Linked DNA regions of Sus scrofa. The protein of the gene in region 1 purifies or fractionates together with the protein of each later gene. This does not show direct contact. Links are inferred from orthologs where the notes say so. Each region holds a gene or a part of one and is shown on either strand. Other genes may lie near its edges.

Evidence for each region.
Region 2: the proteins of PHLPP1 (region 1) and FKBP5 purify together in Homo sapiens (affinity purification with mass spectrometry; 4 studies listed by BioGRID and IntAct, with this or other methods). This does not show direct contact. The link is inferred for Sus scrofa from reciprocal best matches to the Homo sapiens genes PHLPP1 and FKBP5.
Region 3: the proteins of PHLPP1 (region 1) and AKT1 purify together in Homo sapiens (affinity purification with western blotting, with the first as the bait; 3 studies listed by BioGRID). This does not show direct contact. The link is inferred for Sus scrofa from reciprocal best matches to the Homo sapiens genes PHLPP1 and AKT1.
Region 4: the proteins of PHLPP1 (region 1) and USP1 purify together in Homo sapiens (affinity purification with mass spectrometry; 6 studies listed by BioGRID and IntAct, counting the BioPlex papers as one, with this or other methods). This does not show direct contact. The link is inferred for Sus scrofa from reciprocal best matches to the Homo sapiens genes PHLPP1 and USP1.

Annotation. Positions count from the first base shown.
Region 1 is NC_010443.5:158,682,135-158,685,694, reverse strand, and holds part of PHLPP1 (PH domain leucine-rich repeat-containing protein phosphatase 1), read left to right. Parts: intron 1-2,565; coding exon 2,566-2,766; intron 2,767-3,560. UniProt on the Homo sapiens protein: Protein phosphatase involved in regulation of Akt and PKC signaling.
Region 2 is NC_010449.5:31,547,021-31,551,191, reverse strand, and holds the start of FKBP5 (FK506 binding protein 5), read left to right. Parts: upstream 1-1,361; 5' UTR 1,362-1,468; intron 1,469-4,171. UniProt on the Homo sapiens protein: Immunophilin protein with PPIase and co-chaperone activities. Component of unligated steroid receptors heterocomplexes through interaction with heat-shock protein 90 (HSP90).
Region 3 is NW_018084979.1:3,052,663-3,056,691, forward strand, and holds the start of AKT1 (RAC-alpha serine/threonine-protein kinase), read right to left. Parts: upstream 2,811-4,029; 5' UTR 2,796-2,810; coding exon 2,540-2,795; intron 1-2,539. UniProt on the Homo sapiens protein: AKT1 is one of 3 closely related serine/threonine-protein kinases (AKT1, AKT2 and AKT3) called the AKT kinase, and which regulate many processes including metabolism, proliferation, cell survival, growth and angiogenesis.
Region 4 is NC_010448.4:149,983,137-149,987,385, reverse strand, and holds the start of USP1 (ubiquitin carboxyl-terminal hydrolase 1), read left to right. Parts: upstream 1-1,439; 5' UTR 1,440-2,232; intron 2,233-4,249. UniProt on the Homo sapiens protein: Negative regulator of DNA damage repair which specifically deubiquitinates monoubiquitinated FANCD2. Also involved in PCNA-mediated translesion synthesis (TLS) by deubiquitinating monoubiquitinated PCNA.

The sequences.
Region 1 (3,560 bases):
CAGGTGTTTTATTTTTAAGAGGATGGATATTGAATTTAATTTCCCTGAAACCATTGTAGTCAAAAATTTTTTAGCCCAATTTTTTGCTCTTTGAAGGTTAACTAACAAGATGATTCAATCAGGCTTTATTTAGTTCAAATAAAATCCTTTGGAACCAGCCCAGTGTAGTTTCAACTTAGTTTCATTTCCTGGAGGGTAGAATGTGGGATTCACCCTTCCCCCTAGTTTTTCATAAAAAGCATGTAGCTACTTCAGTGCAGGCAGATTTCAACAAGATGAGAGAACAAGTCTTTCTGGAAATCACTTTCTTCCCTTCATTCAGATGTTGTGAGAGTTTTTTAAAGTCCTTTTTGCAGTTTTCTAGATGAGCATTCACTTGTCAATCTTTTCTTTTCAAAACAACTTTTCCTCTTTTTCTGTCCTAAAAATATGCAGATATTCATGAATTAGTTTCCTTTCGTGTGTCTATAACTGCATATTTCTTCAAGAATTGTACTTTAGTAAGATTGTCAGAGTTTCCCCAACCAACCCCATTCCAAGATGTTTCAGAACAGTACATTTTAATGTTTTCTAATTCTACACTGAAGAAATTCTTAGAGTATTTAAGTCAGGTGATACAAACGGGACCCAAAGAAATAGATTCGTAAAAATACTTTAAAGAACTGTGCTGCCGAAACTGGTTTCCTTCCTAGTTAAAACCATTTCAGAAACTGCATGAATGACCTTTATTTTCTTCTCTAGCACACACGACTATAATTTCCCATGACTATTTATGGTCTGTACAGCCCTTTTCTAACTTCCTTTTTTTTTTTTTTTTAATGTCAACGGGATATGTGTTCCTTTAATGGAAAATGTTCTATTTTGGGGGAGCTGCTTTTCCTTAGATAAGTGGTGGAGTTAAGGTGGGTGGGTGGGTGGGTGTGAGTGTGTGGAGGTTGCAAGATTGGAGAGTATTAAATTAGTGGATTGAAAGCTTGGAATGACAGTCCTGGTGATGACTCTCGAGTACAAATTCTTTTTATCCAAGATTAAAAATAACTATACCTAGAAGCTCTCTTGTGGTGCATCAGGTTAAGGAATCCAACGTTGTCACTACAGTGGCTCCGGTTGCTATTGTGGCCAGGGTTCAGTCCCTGGCCCAGAAACTTACATGTGCCATGAACATGGCTTCCTCCCAAAACAGACAACAAACAAACAAACAAAAATCTTCTTTTGAAGGAAGATTTTATTCTTTTTTTCTAATTTATGGTAAAACAATCCTGAATTAAATGCTGAATGTATCAAGCCTAGGTTCTGAAACAAGAGAAAGGCAGTTCATTAACAGGGTAGTTCTAGGTCAGGGTTGGGGGGCAAGGCAGCTTGATCTTGGTACCTAGAGCAGGTAAGTCCTATGAGCGGGGCACTCTCCATGCTTGGGCCATTGCAGCCTCATGATGGGCCACACTGTGACGTGGGGGTGGGGGATTGTCTGCCATGCACTGTGTTGTCTATCGCCTATCATCCACACCCAGTACTTGCTCTGTCCATCTCTTCCCTTTCCAGTGCTTTGGAACCTGATCACAGCAAGGATTTTGTTTCAGTGCTCCAGCTTCGCATTTTGCATTTATCTGTGTTCCACAGTAACTATGGAAGGATTACACTGTTTTTGACAGTTTTAGTTATCTCAAGTTTAATAACATTCTTCATACTTCATACTTAAGCTCCATCATTTGCATAACTGGTGGCATATACATCTTATTTTAATGTAAATTTTATTGAAGTATCATATAAATACAGAAAAGCAGCCAAATCATAAGTATAGCACCTGATAAATTTTCTCAAAGTGACCAGCACCCAGATCGAGAACCAGAACGTTATCATATTGGAGAAATTAGCTGACTCCTCGACACTGTTTCCCTTCCCCAACTTTTAATACTATAGATTAGTTTACCTGATTTTGAACTCCAGAATTATGGAATTATGCAGTGTACCCTCCGGTATCTGGCTGTTTTCACTCTATTATATTTGTGAGATTCATGCTGTTGATACATGTAGTTGTTCTTTTTCACCACTACATAGTAGTGCATTATTTTACTACAGAGCAAATTATCTCCTGCCATTGTGAATATATAGTCAGTAAAATATGGTTTAGCCATCGTACTAAAAAGGACTTAGCCACTATGTGATTTAGTTGTATTGTGATCTGATGTCTAATTGTTTTATTGCCATACAAGCTCTTTTATTTTAAAATAGGCAGCAGTTTTTCTTAAGAGAGAATATCAACTTTTTTTTATCACTCTCCCTTCCACTCCCTACCAGCTATAAAATTAATCACTTCCTCTCACCTTTGTGCTTCCATAAAAATTGATTTCTCTTTGTAGTTAACTCATATAGAGAGCTATTGTTCCTTATAAATAGTAGGGTTACATATCTATTTGCCTACCAAAGCCAGCACCTATCTTTAAATTCATGTTTGTAAACCCAGTTTCCAGTAGGCCCAGTATCAATCTGAAAACTAGGTTTGTTGAGAATTCTGGACTAGAGCCCTGTCTTAACAGGAGATTTTGTTGCATTTTGTCATTGTAGCCTGAGATTCCTGAATGCATCGGCAAACAAACTGGAAACGCTTCCTCCAGCCACACTTTCTGAAGAGACAAACAGCATCTTACAGGAGTTGTATTTGACAAATAACAACCTCACAGATAAATGTGTGCACTTGTTAACGGGACATCCCCGTCTGAAGATTCTTCACATGGCCTATAACCGACTTCAGAGTTTTCCAGCAAGGTAAAAGAAGATCCCAAAGTGCTGCCCTTCATGGACAGGATGGAGAGGCAAAACCTAAAGTGATTATTTCCCAGATAATGTAAAGCTTGTGCCTCCTGATTCTGTTCACAGCTGTCTTTTATGTAAGCCATCAGCATTCCCCTAAAGAGAAATGTTTCTTTTTCTGATATGAATGTATTCAAAGACCCACTCACTAGGATGTTCTTATGATTTTGAAATAAGGTATGCCATTTAGTGAATATGTTTTTTCTTTTGCTTCTTTTTAACTGGTCAAGTTAATTTAAAAAAAATTTAACCTAATATGGTGTGTGGGGATTAGCACATAGACTAGGATCCTGAGGGTTCTTATTTAGCTGTCAGCTTTTGTGTTTGTATTTATGGTATAAAAAGCAGTGGTGGCCTATGCAATCATAGAAACTGACATTAAAAAGAATTAGCAGCTCTGAGGAAATCACACTTTTAATGCTATTTTAATTTCTGATTTGGGAGAGCAGTGGCATTGTCTCTTGCTTTGAGTGAATCTACACACAGCCTGCCCTGAAGGATTTATGTCATTGGCATGTATCCATTTAACAAGTTAGGTCTTGGAGCTGGTACCCACATGTCAAAGAAGCAGACACTCAGCCCTCTGGTATCCTGCTGCTACTACAACCTAGCATTGGGCCAGAACAAAGACTTGGAACAGCCTCCCTCTGCTGCCATCAGGGATACCAGTCTGTGAAACCCTTGCTAAAGAAGGGAAGCCCAAATATGTATTGACTTCAAGTATTGCTCTGTATTTTTGTAGTATACAT
Region 2 (4,171 bases), on another chromosome or scaffold:
TGACTGCAAGTCCAGAGAAAAGTGCTATGTGCGACGGTTCTCCGGGTGGGATTTTCCCACTTCTGAGAGACAACTTTGAGTTCCTGGTGGTGTTTCCTGGGGCTAACCTGGCTTGCTTACCTGACACAAACAGCCTGGCCTGCCCCTCTCCATCCACGGGGCAGGTTGGGTGGGCAGGAAGGGGGACAGAGTTTTCAGGGAGAGACCCCGTTGTTAAGTCAACAAGCTTATTTAGGCATTAATTTCCCTGGAGGCAAGGAACGGTGTGAGGGGGTGTGGGTCAGTTTCCTTCATCCCTTGCCTCCAGCCCCCACAAAGGGCAAGGGCCAGACACGTGGGCTGGCGTGGAGAGGCGGAGGTTACACCAAGGCGGAGGTGCAAATGGACGGGGGCGGGGCCTTATTTGCATGGACAGCGCGAGGCCGCCAATCCGAACAGGCAGAGCGACAGCCCGCGCGCCTTTTGGGGGCGGACTGACGGCCCCGGGGCCCTATGGAAGGCGGGTCCTACGGCCGGCGGGGGCGGGACGGCGCCGGGCGCTGCCCGGGGGATTCGGGCCGGTTCGCAGGCGCTGCCAGTCTCTGGAGGCGGCGGCGTCCGGCGCGCGGGCGGCCTGCTGGGCGGGCTGAGGGGACAGCTGCGTGCGGGTGAGGCGGGGAGAGACAGAGCAGTAGAGCAACCCCGGCGACAGGTACCGGCGCCATGGCCGCAAGGATGGGGCGGGTGGTCGTGGAGCTCCGGGAGCCGAATTCCTCCTTTGCGGTCCCGCCGCCTTCCCGCTCCGCCTCCCCGCCTCCTCATGCGGCTCCCCAGTCCGGGAACGGCGCGTCGGGGAGAGAGGGGCCGGGGAAGCCTCGAGGCGGACGCGCCGGAGGTCCCCAGCCCGCCGCGGGGCTCCTTTGCGTCCCGCCAGGCCGCGGGGCCGGGGTTCCCTCCTGGAGGCGCGGAGCCGGGCGGCCGCGAGAGCCGCTCCCCGCCCCCGCCGCGCTCCCCCTCGCGGAGGCGAGGCCGGTGGCGCCCGCTGGTCCTCACCCGGCTTTTGTTTCCCGCCCGGGGTGACAGGTCCCGGGCTCCGGCTCGTCCGAGGCCCGGCGCCGGTGACTGCGGCCGGCCGGAGCAGGCGGCGGGACTGGCGGGAGGGCCGGGCGGCGCGTGAGCAGTAGCCGCCGCGGGCGGGAGAGAAACTTCGCCTTCCGGGCCCGGGCGGCGGGAGAAGTGGAGCTGGGGTGAGCCGAGCGTCGGGACGCCGCGGGCACGATGGAGCCTCGCTCACCTGGCGGGGCCCGCGCAGGGCGAGGATAACGGAGCGTCCGGCCGCCGCGGTCCTGGCTTTCGGTTTGCGCTCCCCGGGCGGTGGGTGTGGATGTGTGTTCGCCGCCTTCACCTGCAGACCCGGGACTGGTGACTGGAACAGCATTCCCGCTCTCGGCCGCGCTTAGAGGGTGCCAGGGCCGCTCAGTTTGAACAGGTGATTATTTTAGTGCCAGGTGAAGGCCATTGAGGAGTTTTAGGGCTCCGTATTCAATTCACTCCGGGGCGTTAGAACGCATCTACCCTTAATGACTTCTAAAAAGGGGTGCTGGTTGCAGTAGAGGAGTCAAACTAGTTCAATTTTTTAAAAACTGGGCGGGGGCCGGGAGAGCGAAGGCGAAGTTTCTCTCCCGCCGGGAGAGAACCTGCTTCACACGGACGGGCGGGGAGGAACGTCGTAGTCTCAGTTTGAAAATGGGCTTCTGCAGCGGTGGCGAAAGCATGGTAAGGTACAAGTTGTAAATGGAGAATGCAGAACTCTAGATATCCCTCTGTGTGGTTCAGGACAGCGTGTACAGCCTTTGGCCGCCATTCAGTAAATTCTGCATGAAGCAGTTTGAGCTCGTGGTTTTGGATTTACTTTACAGGAGTGGAATAAGGCTGAGCATTGAATGGGAGCTTTCTTTGCTTTTCTGAGGGCACACAGGAGTGTTTATGTTCATTGTCTTCCCATTTTGTTAGATTGCGGACCAGGGCAAAGTTAAGGCATATTTTGGTTGAGTGTTTTTAATTGTCTCTGGGAATTCTCCTTCCCCCACCGTTCCACCCCTGCCCCTCAGAAGAGGTCTCCAGAGAATTAGAGTAACTTTTCCTCTTGGGCGTTTGAGTCCAAATTCAAAGATGGATGTGAAAACTTATTCTTGTGGGACGTTTTTGTTTGTCATACTTAACATTTTCTGTTTCTGCCTCTCCCATCTGACCTCTGCTTAACACTCTGCAGTTATGGCCCTGACCAATTTAGGGCACCTATAGGGAAAAAAAAGTTTTAAAATAATATGTAGTAATTACTTAAAAATATGTTATGAAGGTTACTAATGACGTATTGGATAAACAGTTGATTTAGATTTTCTTTGCTAATATGTCTTTTTGATGTCTGTGCTAGGTATGGTTTATACTTAGATGTAAGTTTAACTTAGTGATAAAGTTATACTTCTGATTTAGTATGCTACTTTATTAGTGTTTCGTTGAATAGTAATTTTAGTTATTTAGATAATTAGTGACACCTTTTAAAGGTGAACTCTAACCAATAAGCTAATTGTGACTATTGGGGATTAAAAAAAAAAGCAAAACAAAGTGGTCTTTATAAAATGTTTTATTTCTTTAGAACAACAGGCTTATATGCTGAGAGGTCCTTGTCTTTCAAACATTTAACAAAACAAGTATGTTTCTGAATCTTTAATTTTTTAGGGATGGGAATTTGGGGTGAATTTCTTTTTTAAAACAATTTTAATCAGTTCAACGTGACTATTTTAAAATATTAGATTAGACAACTAATGAAATCTTCAATTTTCTGTTTTTTCTTGGATTGAATAGGTTGTTTAGTTTCCTCAAGGCTTCTTAGCTTAGAACGAATCGGTCTAGGAAAGGAAGACCATCCTTGTATATATAGGTGTAGAAGTAATTTCTATTGAAAGCTGAGTTGCCTTTTTGATGCTTAGTGAAGGTTGAATGGTTGAACAGTGACTTGTCCAGAGTGGATTTGATTCTATATAAATAGACTTGAAGACTTTTATGAGACCCGGGCTCTCATGGTTCTGAGCGATTTATGTAATTAATTGTTCTTTAAAGTGTATGGGAATATTAGTTTAACTACTGTGTGTAATTAGTTATAAAATCTTTGTCCTGTGATGATGCTTAAATATACCACATATCATAAAGCTACATTTCATAGTTTCATTTACACAAAAGCATATTTTGGGAACTTTAACTATAAAAGTGACTTTTAATTAAAAGATTGCTTTCAGATTCAGTTTTTACACACTTTAATTGCTGATTTTTGTCCCCTTTAACTTTGTTTACTTTAACTTGTGGTAGACCATATCATAAAATTATCAGCCACATTACAGTTTCAAATTTAAGCATAAGTTGAATTATCGCATCTACACAGTTTACATTGGGAATGTTTTTGTCATTAACCCTCAGGTGTGGCTCCCTTTGAGTTTGAGGCTGGGAAAATATTTTTTAACGAGTAAAGCCACAAAAAAACCGGAACACATTAAACCAACTAAACTTGAGGATAAATCTCACAATTCAGATATTAATACTGTTTTATTTAACAGTAATATGCTTGCTGTATCTCTCATTAATAGTCTCTGTAGGCCTTTAATGTAATTTTTCACAATTCCTAATAAAAGCCTATAGTTACATAATTTGGCACACTAAATTTGTAATTATTTTATGCTGAACAGTTACATGTTCTATACATTTTATAATTCTGAAACTATTTGAACTTTTAACCTAGCTGATTAGAAATTAGATTTTTTTCATTTTACATTCTGAATTTTTTTTTTACAGTGTTTTTTAACTACTGAAATTATGTCCCCAAAAGTGTAAGGGACATTAAATGTACATTCATCAGAGATTAGGCGGCCATTGGTAGGTACATCACATGATTATTGACTTAAAAGCAATAGCCACTGAAGTGCGATTTTTTTTTTTTTTTTTTTTTTTTTTGCGACTAAGATGTTTGTTTATTGTGTAAAAGACAGGTCTGCCAAATGAGACAGGTTAAAATAATTTATAGTAGGGCCTTGTGTATATGTAGCTAACAAGTTAGTAAGGATATTTCAGTAGTATTTGAGACACTAAAATTCAAGTACTCGAAGTAATTTATATCTCATAATTTGTCATGATGAGACTT
Region 3 (4,029 bases), on another chromosome or scaffold:
ACACACTCTCACTCCTGGGCCAAGAGCCACCCAACCAAACCCAGAAAGGCCTCGGGGTCCTGAGCAGGCAGAGGCGGAGACAGAGCGGGCGGACGGCGGCGCACAGACGGGCTGTGGTAGCTCCCGCAGGGTGGCTTGGGGCGGGGGGCAAGAGGGATGGCCGAGCCCTCCCCGTGGGCAGGGGCCCTGCCCAGACCCCTTCCCTGCAAACACCCAGAGGAGGCAGAGGCAAGACCTCGGCGTCCAAGTGACCCCCAGCCTCCCTAAGCGAGGCCCGGGTTGGGGTGCAAGGGGCTCCGGGCACCGACACCCAGGAAGAAGCACAACCCGCACAGGAAGGGGCCAGCCCAGAGGCGCAGAGGAAGGCCTCCCAGCCCGACACCTGCTCTTCCCTGACCGGAGTGACATCTGCGGCGGGACAGCCGGGAGGACAGCGGGGCCTGGTGGGGACAGGGCCCCCTCCCTCGGCCCCCTCCTCTGTGACCCGGGGGCAGGCTGCATCCTCCCCGCTCCAGGCGTCACCTGGCTCCCGCGCCACAGCCCCCAGCACTGGCTGTGAGGCCCCCACGGCCCGAGGGGGACGCCAGCGCCTCAGCAGCAGGGCCCAGGGTGGGCTCCCGCCCCTGCTGGGAGAAGCACTGAGACCTCTGGGCAGGCCCGACCACCCTGGAGATGGTCGGGGCAGGGGGCAGGGATCGGTGACCCCAAACCCAGTGCCCCAGCCTAAAGCCCCCAGGGTCAGCAGAGGCGCCACCAAAGAACCGCCACCATCGATCCTGCTGTTTCTGACACACAAGCCTGTCCCTTCTGAAGGTTCAAGAGGAAGCAGGGCGTGGCTAAGCGGGGCGCACGCAGCTCCACCCCAGCCCGGAGCCAGGGCCCTCTGCCAACCCGCCAGGGGCCAGGTCCGGGCTGGGGGGCCTCCTCCTGGGGCTGCGGGGCCAGGCTCGGCGAGGGGGCGGGAGCAGTGGGCATCCACCCTCTGTGGGCACAGAGGCAGCCGCCGGCTCCTGCGCGGGAGGCCCGCGGGGAGGGCACTGGCCGCGAGCCTGGCCGGGTGTGCCCGGGGAGAGGGGACGCCAGCCACAGCCGAGCCAGCCCCCCCGCCCCGCCCTCCCGTGGCACTTCTAGGAACTGGCCTGACGCAACCCAGCCCAGGCCTCTCCCTAGGGCTGGCGCAGGGTAGGGGTCCGGGCCCAGGGCTCCGGACTGGGCCTGGCATCCCAGCCCATCCCGCCCAGACCTGGGTTCCCCTCCTGGGCGTGCACACCATGCCACCTGGGGCAGCTGGGGTGTCCGCAGAAGCCAGCCCGGGACCCCAGCGGCGCCCCAGCCCCCTCCCCTGCCCGGCAGGGCCAGGAAGGAGGCAGGAGCACTGCCCACTCGGGGCCCATCAGGCAGGAGCCCAGGGACACCAAGCGGGGCGGGCAGTGACCCCTCACCCCCCAGCCAAGGACGCCTGAGCTTCCTCTTTTGTTGTTTGTTTTGAAGAGAAAACTCAACGCGCTCACAAAACAGGAAACTCGGCCCCACACCGGCTGGCTGGCCACGACCACGGCCACAGCCTGGTGCCGCCGGGGTCCCAAAGAGAGCACCCCAGCCCCAGGAGCAGGGGCCCAGCACCGTGCCCACCCTCAGCCCGGCTGCCGGCTCGGATCTGCCCCAGGCCAGTGCTGGGCCCTCGCAGAGGGTACTGCTTGTGGATGAGGGACTGCCCGGACTGGAGCTACAGTCACTGCAGCATGACCTGAGCGGCACCTGGGGAGCCCCTCACCCGGCCCGGGGCACAGGGCAAGGGGAGCAGACCCTGCCCCACGCTCCCGCGAGCCCCTCGCCCTGGCAGAGCCCCCGCAGCGGCACCGTGCGCCCAGGCGGGCTGAACAGGTCCCTGCAGGCCTCGGCCCGCTGGCCACTCAGCAGAGCCACCGTCGCCTCGAAAGGGGAGCCAGGCTGCGCCCCCACAGCCCCCGCCCCATGTGAGCCCAGGGCCGGGACCGTGGGTTTCGTGTCAGCAAATGGAAGTGGCGTCTGGGCAGCTCAGAGCCGCCTGAGGGCAGGGAAGCCGCTGCGGCCACAGCAGGAAGCAGGATCCGGCCAGGGCTGAGCGGGGCAGGAAGAGGAGCCACCACGGCCAGGAAGCCCACTCCCCACCAGGGTGCCTGGCACCAGCGCAGCAGGGGTGGTGAGGGCCTGGAGCCGGCGAGGGTCCAGGCCAGAAAGGGGCTCAGGCAGGGGGCACAGCAAGGCCCAAGACACGCCAGGGACCAGCCCCCCCGGCCCCGTGCCTGGGGTGGAGCTCGGGTGGTGAGCAGGCCCGCGCCTCCCCTGTGCACACATGCCCGCGGGCCTTGCAGGTGGCCGGTCCAGGCCGGGTCCAGGGGCAGGAGCCCCGCTCCCCTCCACCTGCCCGCTGGCTCCTTGGCAGGCCCAGGCCGGCACCCCCTCCGCTTCCCAGGCCCGGCTCGTCCTGTGAGCCCGCAACCCCTTCTTTCAGCCCATGGCCAGCATCTGGCTGCCCCCTTCCCTTCTCCCAACCCACCTGGTCCAGGCGGCCCATCCACGGGTGGGGTCACCCAGGAGGACAGCCAGACACGGGCTCTAGGTTTGGGACCCCGCAGGGCTGGGCTGCCGCCGAGACAGTGCACAGACCACGGGCACCAGGCCAAGTAGGCAGGGAGGCCCGGGCCTTGGGGAACGTCCCGAAGCAGCTGCGCACACCGGCCCGCGGCCTGGCACAGCACACGCAGTCTGAAGACACAGCAGGAGGCTGCAGCCGAGTCCAGCCAGACCTGCATCCTGAAGGAGGGTTGGTTTTTTTTAACTATCAGCCTTCAAAAATCAGGAGAGCACACAAAAGACCGAATCTTTGAAAATGCGCATTTCTGAGCCACACGGAGCCCACCAGCCCCCAGCACCTGCGGCTGAGCTGAGCTGAGCTGCCCAGCACTCGCAGTGGCCGCCATAGCCTGGGGTGTCTGCCCATCAGCTGCCTGGGATACCCCACTTTGCTCAGGAAGTCGGCCTGCCTCTGGGGACACCCACTCATAGCTTGAGGGCCACCTGTCACACAGGCGGGGTCCCTGCAGGCCCCTCCCAGCCCAGTCCTCTCCCACCCCCCCCCAACTTTCTGAGCCTTCAGCAGCCTGACTCCACCCTCCTGGGACCGGCTCCCTGGCCAGACACCAGGGGACAGAGGCCCGAGGGCTTGCCTGGTGCTGCAGGTCAGGCAGGGCTGGGACTCGAGCTGCAGCGCTGGCCACCCAGCCCGGCTCTCCTGGGCCCCCCTGGCAGTCAGGACACCGGGGAAGTAGCCGGGGCACTCCTCAGAGATGGAGCCCCTGCCCGGAGGGGCAGGAGAAGGACGGACTGCAGCCACCCCTCAACCGCCAAGTCTGTGCCCACGGGGCCCCTTGAGGGCAGGCCCTGGGCTGGACGCAGGACAGACGCGACAGAAGGCAGACCAGTTCCTTGTACCCTGTCACCTGCGTGGCGGGAGCCGCACTGGCAGTGGCGGCGGGGGATCAGGGGGTCTGTGAGGAGCTGGAGGACAGGCACAGTCCCCCACCCTCCCTCACAATCAGACCCTGGCGGGGGGCGGGGGGGTCCAGCCTCTCACCTGTGCTACAGGTGGCGCCGTCTGCCCCCCCAGCCCAGGGCTCCCCCACTGCTCCCAGAGCTGCCCCCAAAGGAGGCTTTAGTTCCTTCGAGGGAGAGGGCACAGCGGGGGTGGGGGCGCCACAGGGAAACACGGAGACGTCCTCAAACTACCCCCTCTCCTGCACCGCCACCTGCCCGCGGGGGACCAAGGCCAGGACGTAGCCGAACACCCCCCCCCGCGACCCAGGCCCAAAAACGCTAGTTCCTCACCCATCATGGGAAACAGCCCCACCTCCCACCTCCAGCCCCAGTCAGAGTCATCCTTGGTTCCCACAACATCTCACCCAAACCCACCCATTTCCCGCCCCCACCACGTGACCTCTGCCCCTGGCCCAGTCACCTACGTCTAGCACACGGGGAGAGCCCACATCT
Region 4 (4,249 bases), on another chromosome or scaffold:
TTTTTGTCTTTTTCTTATCCATCAGCAGATCCTATTGGCTTCTATCAGTTCTCAACATTTCCACTGCTACTACCTTATCCCAAGCCCCCATAATTTTTTCCCTGGGCAGCAGAAATAGCCTCCTAGGTGACCTTCCAGCTTGCAGTTTTGAAGGTCAGCAGTCTGTCCACCACGAGCAGTCACTTAACCGATCACGCCACTCCCCAGCTTCAAACCGTCAAGTGATTCCCGTCTCCTTACCTAACCAGAGCCCTGCCCAGTGTCGCCGATCTCACGTCCCACAATCTTCCGCACTTAAGTTCACTGCGCTCTAAGCTCCTTGGCCTCCCTGCCTTCTTTCCAGAACGCCAAGTGCCTGAAGACTTTTATAACTTACCTTTCTCCTTGCTGGGACCATTCCTCCCTCAGATTCGGCCAAGGCTGGCTGTGTCTTCATTTAGTTTTCTACTCAAATGTCTGACTGTGGTACCTAGAACAGCACCCTCCTTATTTCCTCTCCTATCACTCATATTATTTTATCTCATTTTAGCTTTGCATTTACCCTGCCTAGAAGGGAAAGCCCCTTTGGAGCAGTTAATGTTCATTCGCGCCGTATCCCTGGCGCCTGGAAAAGTGCCTGGCACATCAAGCACCTAAAAACAGGCTTAGTTAAATGAATTTGCACTGAACTTATCCTGTTTTCCACTTGCTTTGTGAGATCACCTCGCCTCCGAGGTAGGCATACAAACAGGGACGGAAGCAGAAGCTATGGAAAGGCCTGCCTTGCCGTGTTTTGAGCCCATTAGTAAGGCCTCGCGCAAGAACCCCTCGAAGCTCCCCCAGCCAGAGCCGGGCGTTAAGAATGCTCTTTAGTCTCCTCGTCGTCCGGAGACAACAAGAGACGTCGGTGGGGAGGGGAAAGGGTAAAGAGGAGAAAATAACGCGTGGAAGGGCTGAGGAAGGAGCCTCGGCTCTGCACCGTTCGGTTGAGAATTTACTATTTTTCATGGCGGCAATTATTTTACTGGATGGCCCGGGGGCTGGGGCTGCGATTCGGGCGCACAGCAGCAAGCGAGGCGGTCAGCCATTTTCCGAAACTAATCTCCCGAGTAACCCCGCCCGAGTGTGTACGCATGAAACGGAGGCGGGACTTATTGTGAGGGCCCCTCTCCGGAAACCGCACCCTCGCTGGCGTCCCACCTTCTGGGATTCACAAAACGCAGACCAAGATTTAACAGTCGGCAGCGAAAGCGCGCACTCGAGCGCCAATGAGAGCGGGAGGAGAACGGCGTCTGAAGAACACTCTCTATGGCCAACAATGATTGGCTGAAGCCCTCCTGTCTTTTTTTTGTATTGGGTGGACTGCCTTTCCCCGCCCACCCAGTTCGCTTTTGTCTAGGTACTTTTGATTGGCTCCTCTTAGGCGGCACGGGGGATTGTTCATTACGGATTGGTGGATTTGAGCACCTGGCGGCTCCTTCCCGAGCAGGGAGTCCATCCCACCTCTCTGTCCTGTTTCCCGACCCGTACGCTTTCCCCTCAACTCTCGCGCACGAATGGTTAAAAAAAAAAAAAAAAAAAAGGGTGTGAGGCTGGAGCCCGCCAGCCAGGCCTCTCGCTCCTAAGCGCGCGCCCTCAGCGAGGACCCGCGCGAGCTGCCCGTGACGCTGCCTGCGCTGTTTGAAACTGCAGAACCCGTTACGAGCTTGAGGCAACTACCGTTCCAGCTGGTTCCGGAGCCCGTGCGGGCCAAGGGGCGAGTGGCGGTCTCGAGGCGGCTCTGGCCTTTCGCGTCTCCACCGCGTGGAGACTAGAACCGGCACTTTCGCAGGACACCACTTCCAATCGCAGCGCTGGCGCGGGCGGAGGCTAAAACACGGGGGTCCTGAGACTGAGGAAAACGCGCCAAGTTCCCGTCGGTGGTGGAGTGAGGAAGACCCTAGCGGTTAGGACGCCGGGCGAGCGGAGCTGCTTCTGGCGCTCCTTGCCGTCCCGGGGCGGGGGCGGGCGCGGGCGGGCGCCGCTCCGGGGATGTAGTTGGTGCGGGCGCCGGGCAGGACCGAGCGGCAGCCCGGGTTCCCGCTCTTCAGAGCGAATGGTCACTCCCCCGCGGGGAGGGCGATCCGACCAGCTTTTCCTTGGGTCGGGGGGCCCCCGCGGGCTCGGGGCAGGGGCTCACCTGTGGCACCCACGCTCGGCCTGGTTGGACTTGTCGGCGTCACCGCCGCGGACCTCGCTTTGGGCCATGACCAGGTAAGGAGGGCCTGTGGAGGTGGGGCCGGCGCCCGAGGGGGCCGCGGGGAGGACCTCGGCTTCGTGGGTGCAGCGCCGCCGCCGAGCTCCGTGCAGCGGGCGGGGCGCCCTCCTGCCGCCGCCGGGGACTCAAGGCAGGTGCGGGCCGGGCGTAAATAGGCCAGCTCCGCGGGCGAGGGTCCCGGAGCTGCGGTCCTGCTTCAAGACGCCTCCCGCCGGGCCCGTGGCGTCCTCACGGGCACGGGCACAGACCCCATCCCGTCTTTTCGCTTTCCTTTCCGTTCCTAGAGAGTGCGGGGTAGCGCCAAGGAATGTTTTCGCTCGCGTTGTCCTGGGTCGGGATTGCTGCATTTTACCGCGCAGTTTAAACTTTTACTTCTTTTTTTTTTAACAAGTATTTAGAATGCCACGTGTCTTAAACCTTTGTTGGGAATGTTCTCCTTATGTTACGTTTTTCGTGGAAAGTTGCAATTAAGTCGTACCACCTTGTGAAGGAGGCCGCTTAAGACGAATAGGACTTAGTGTTCACACTGTCACTTGTTCAGTAACATGCAATGTTCGATTTATCGTGGGTTCTGCGAAACCGGATTTAGATTACGGGAGAAACATTTTTGTTGTAGCAAACCCCAGTGATAAGGACAGGCGGGAGCAAGAAATGGTGCAGCATAAGGCACGGCACCTGGTCAAATGTTAGATTAACTAGGTCATGTTAAATCACTGCTTGAAGGAGCCTGGAGGATTGGTTTATTGATTAGGATTGGTAGTTATTTTAGCTGCCTGGCCATTTTTTTCTTATGTTTATATGTAAGTCGGGTTACTTTGTCTTTTAGAGAAATCAGATTGGCTCCCAAGAAAACCCTTTTGCGGGAATCATTGATGCTTAAGAGATCCCTGACACCTTAGTGCAGGCTGGTTTATCATTCGTGATAGCGTTTCTTCAGTAGCACTAGGTAGTCTGGAGAGTAAATTGAGTTGGAGTGGGTCTGTGGAAATTGGTCGGCTTTCCATTTATTCCTGAGGTGTCTCAAAAAGTTGGCTTCACTGCCGAGTTCAGTGTTATGAGGTCCTAGATCCGAGGCAGCCCAGTGAAATGTTAAATAAGGATGGAATTTAGTTCGTATTGTTACTCTGCCTATTTATTTGTAAAGTCCTTGCTGAGCTTTTGGACTCTTAAGTGATTTTCTGGTAATACTCCAGGCAGATAATTTCCCCCTAGATAGCCTAATAAAAAAACAGGATTGAAGTTTAAAATAACTACCACAGATACATTTTTTTAATCAGAAAGTTTTATTTTAAGACAGGGAAGAAAGTTTGCATAATGCAAACTATCCTTTTTTCCCTACTTAAAGCAGAATTTTAAAAAATTCTGGAGTTTAAGTTTGGAAAATCAGTAGCATATTTTGGTTTCTAGAGCGTTAAGAATTTGATTTACACAAATTATGGCATTTTTTTACACTGTTATCCTAATCTTGCATATGGTTTCTTGTTTTTCACACAAGGTTTTAGACTATTTCATATAAGTAGAAAAGGCTCTGGAAGGAGAACTCAGCTGCTTCTAAGCACTCCTTTAATTTCCCATTCATCTGTTTCCCACCTCCTACTTGAGATGGTAGTTGCTTGTTGTTTTCTGAATAAACTAATACATAATAAAGTTTTTATGCTTTAATGATACTACTTTATTCCAGATCTATTACTAAAATGGGTTAATTTGTGATATGACCATTAATATACTAAGCAGGCTAATAAGAATTTTAATATCTGGCCTTTTTTGTTGTGTAAGAAAGTTAAGGACAGGAATTCTGTTGTGGAACCTGACTAGTATCCATGAGGATGTGGGTTCCATCCCTGGCCTCCGTCAGAGGTTAAGGATGCAAAGGTTCATCCTTAGGTCGAAGACAAGGCTCCACTTCACACTGTTTTGGTGTAGGCCAGCAGCTGTAGTTCCAATTTGACCCGTACCCTGGGAAGCTCCCTATGCCGGGTGCAGCCCTAAAAAGACAAAAAAAAAAAAAAAAGA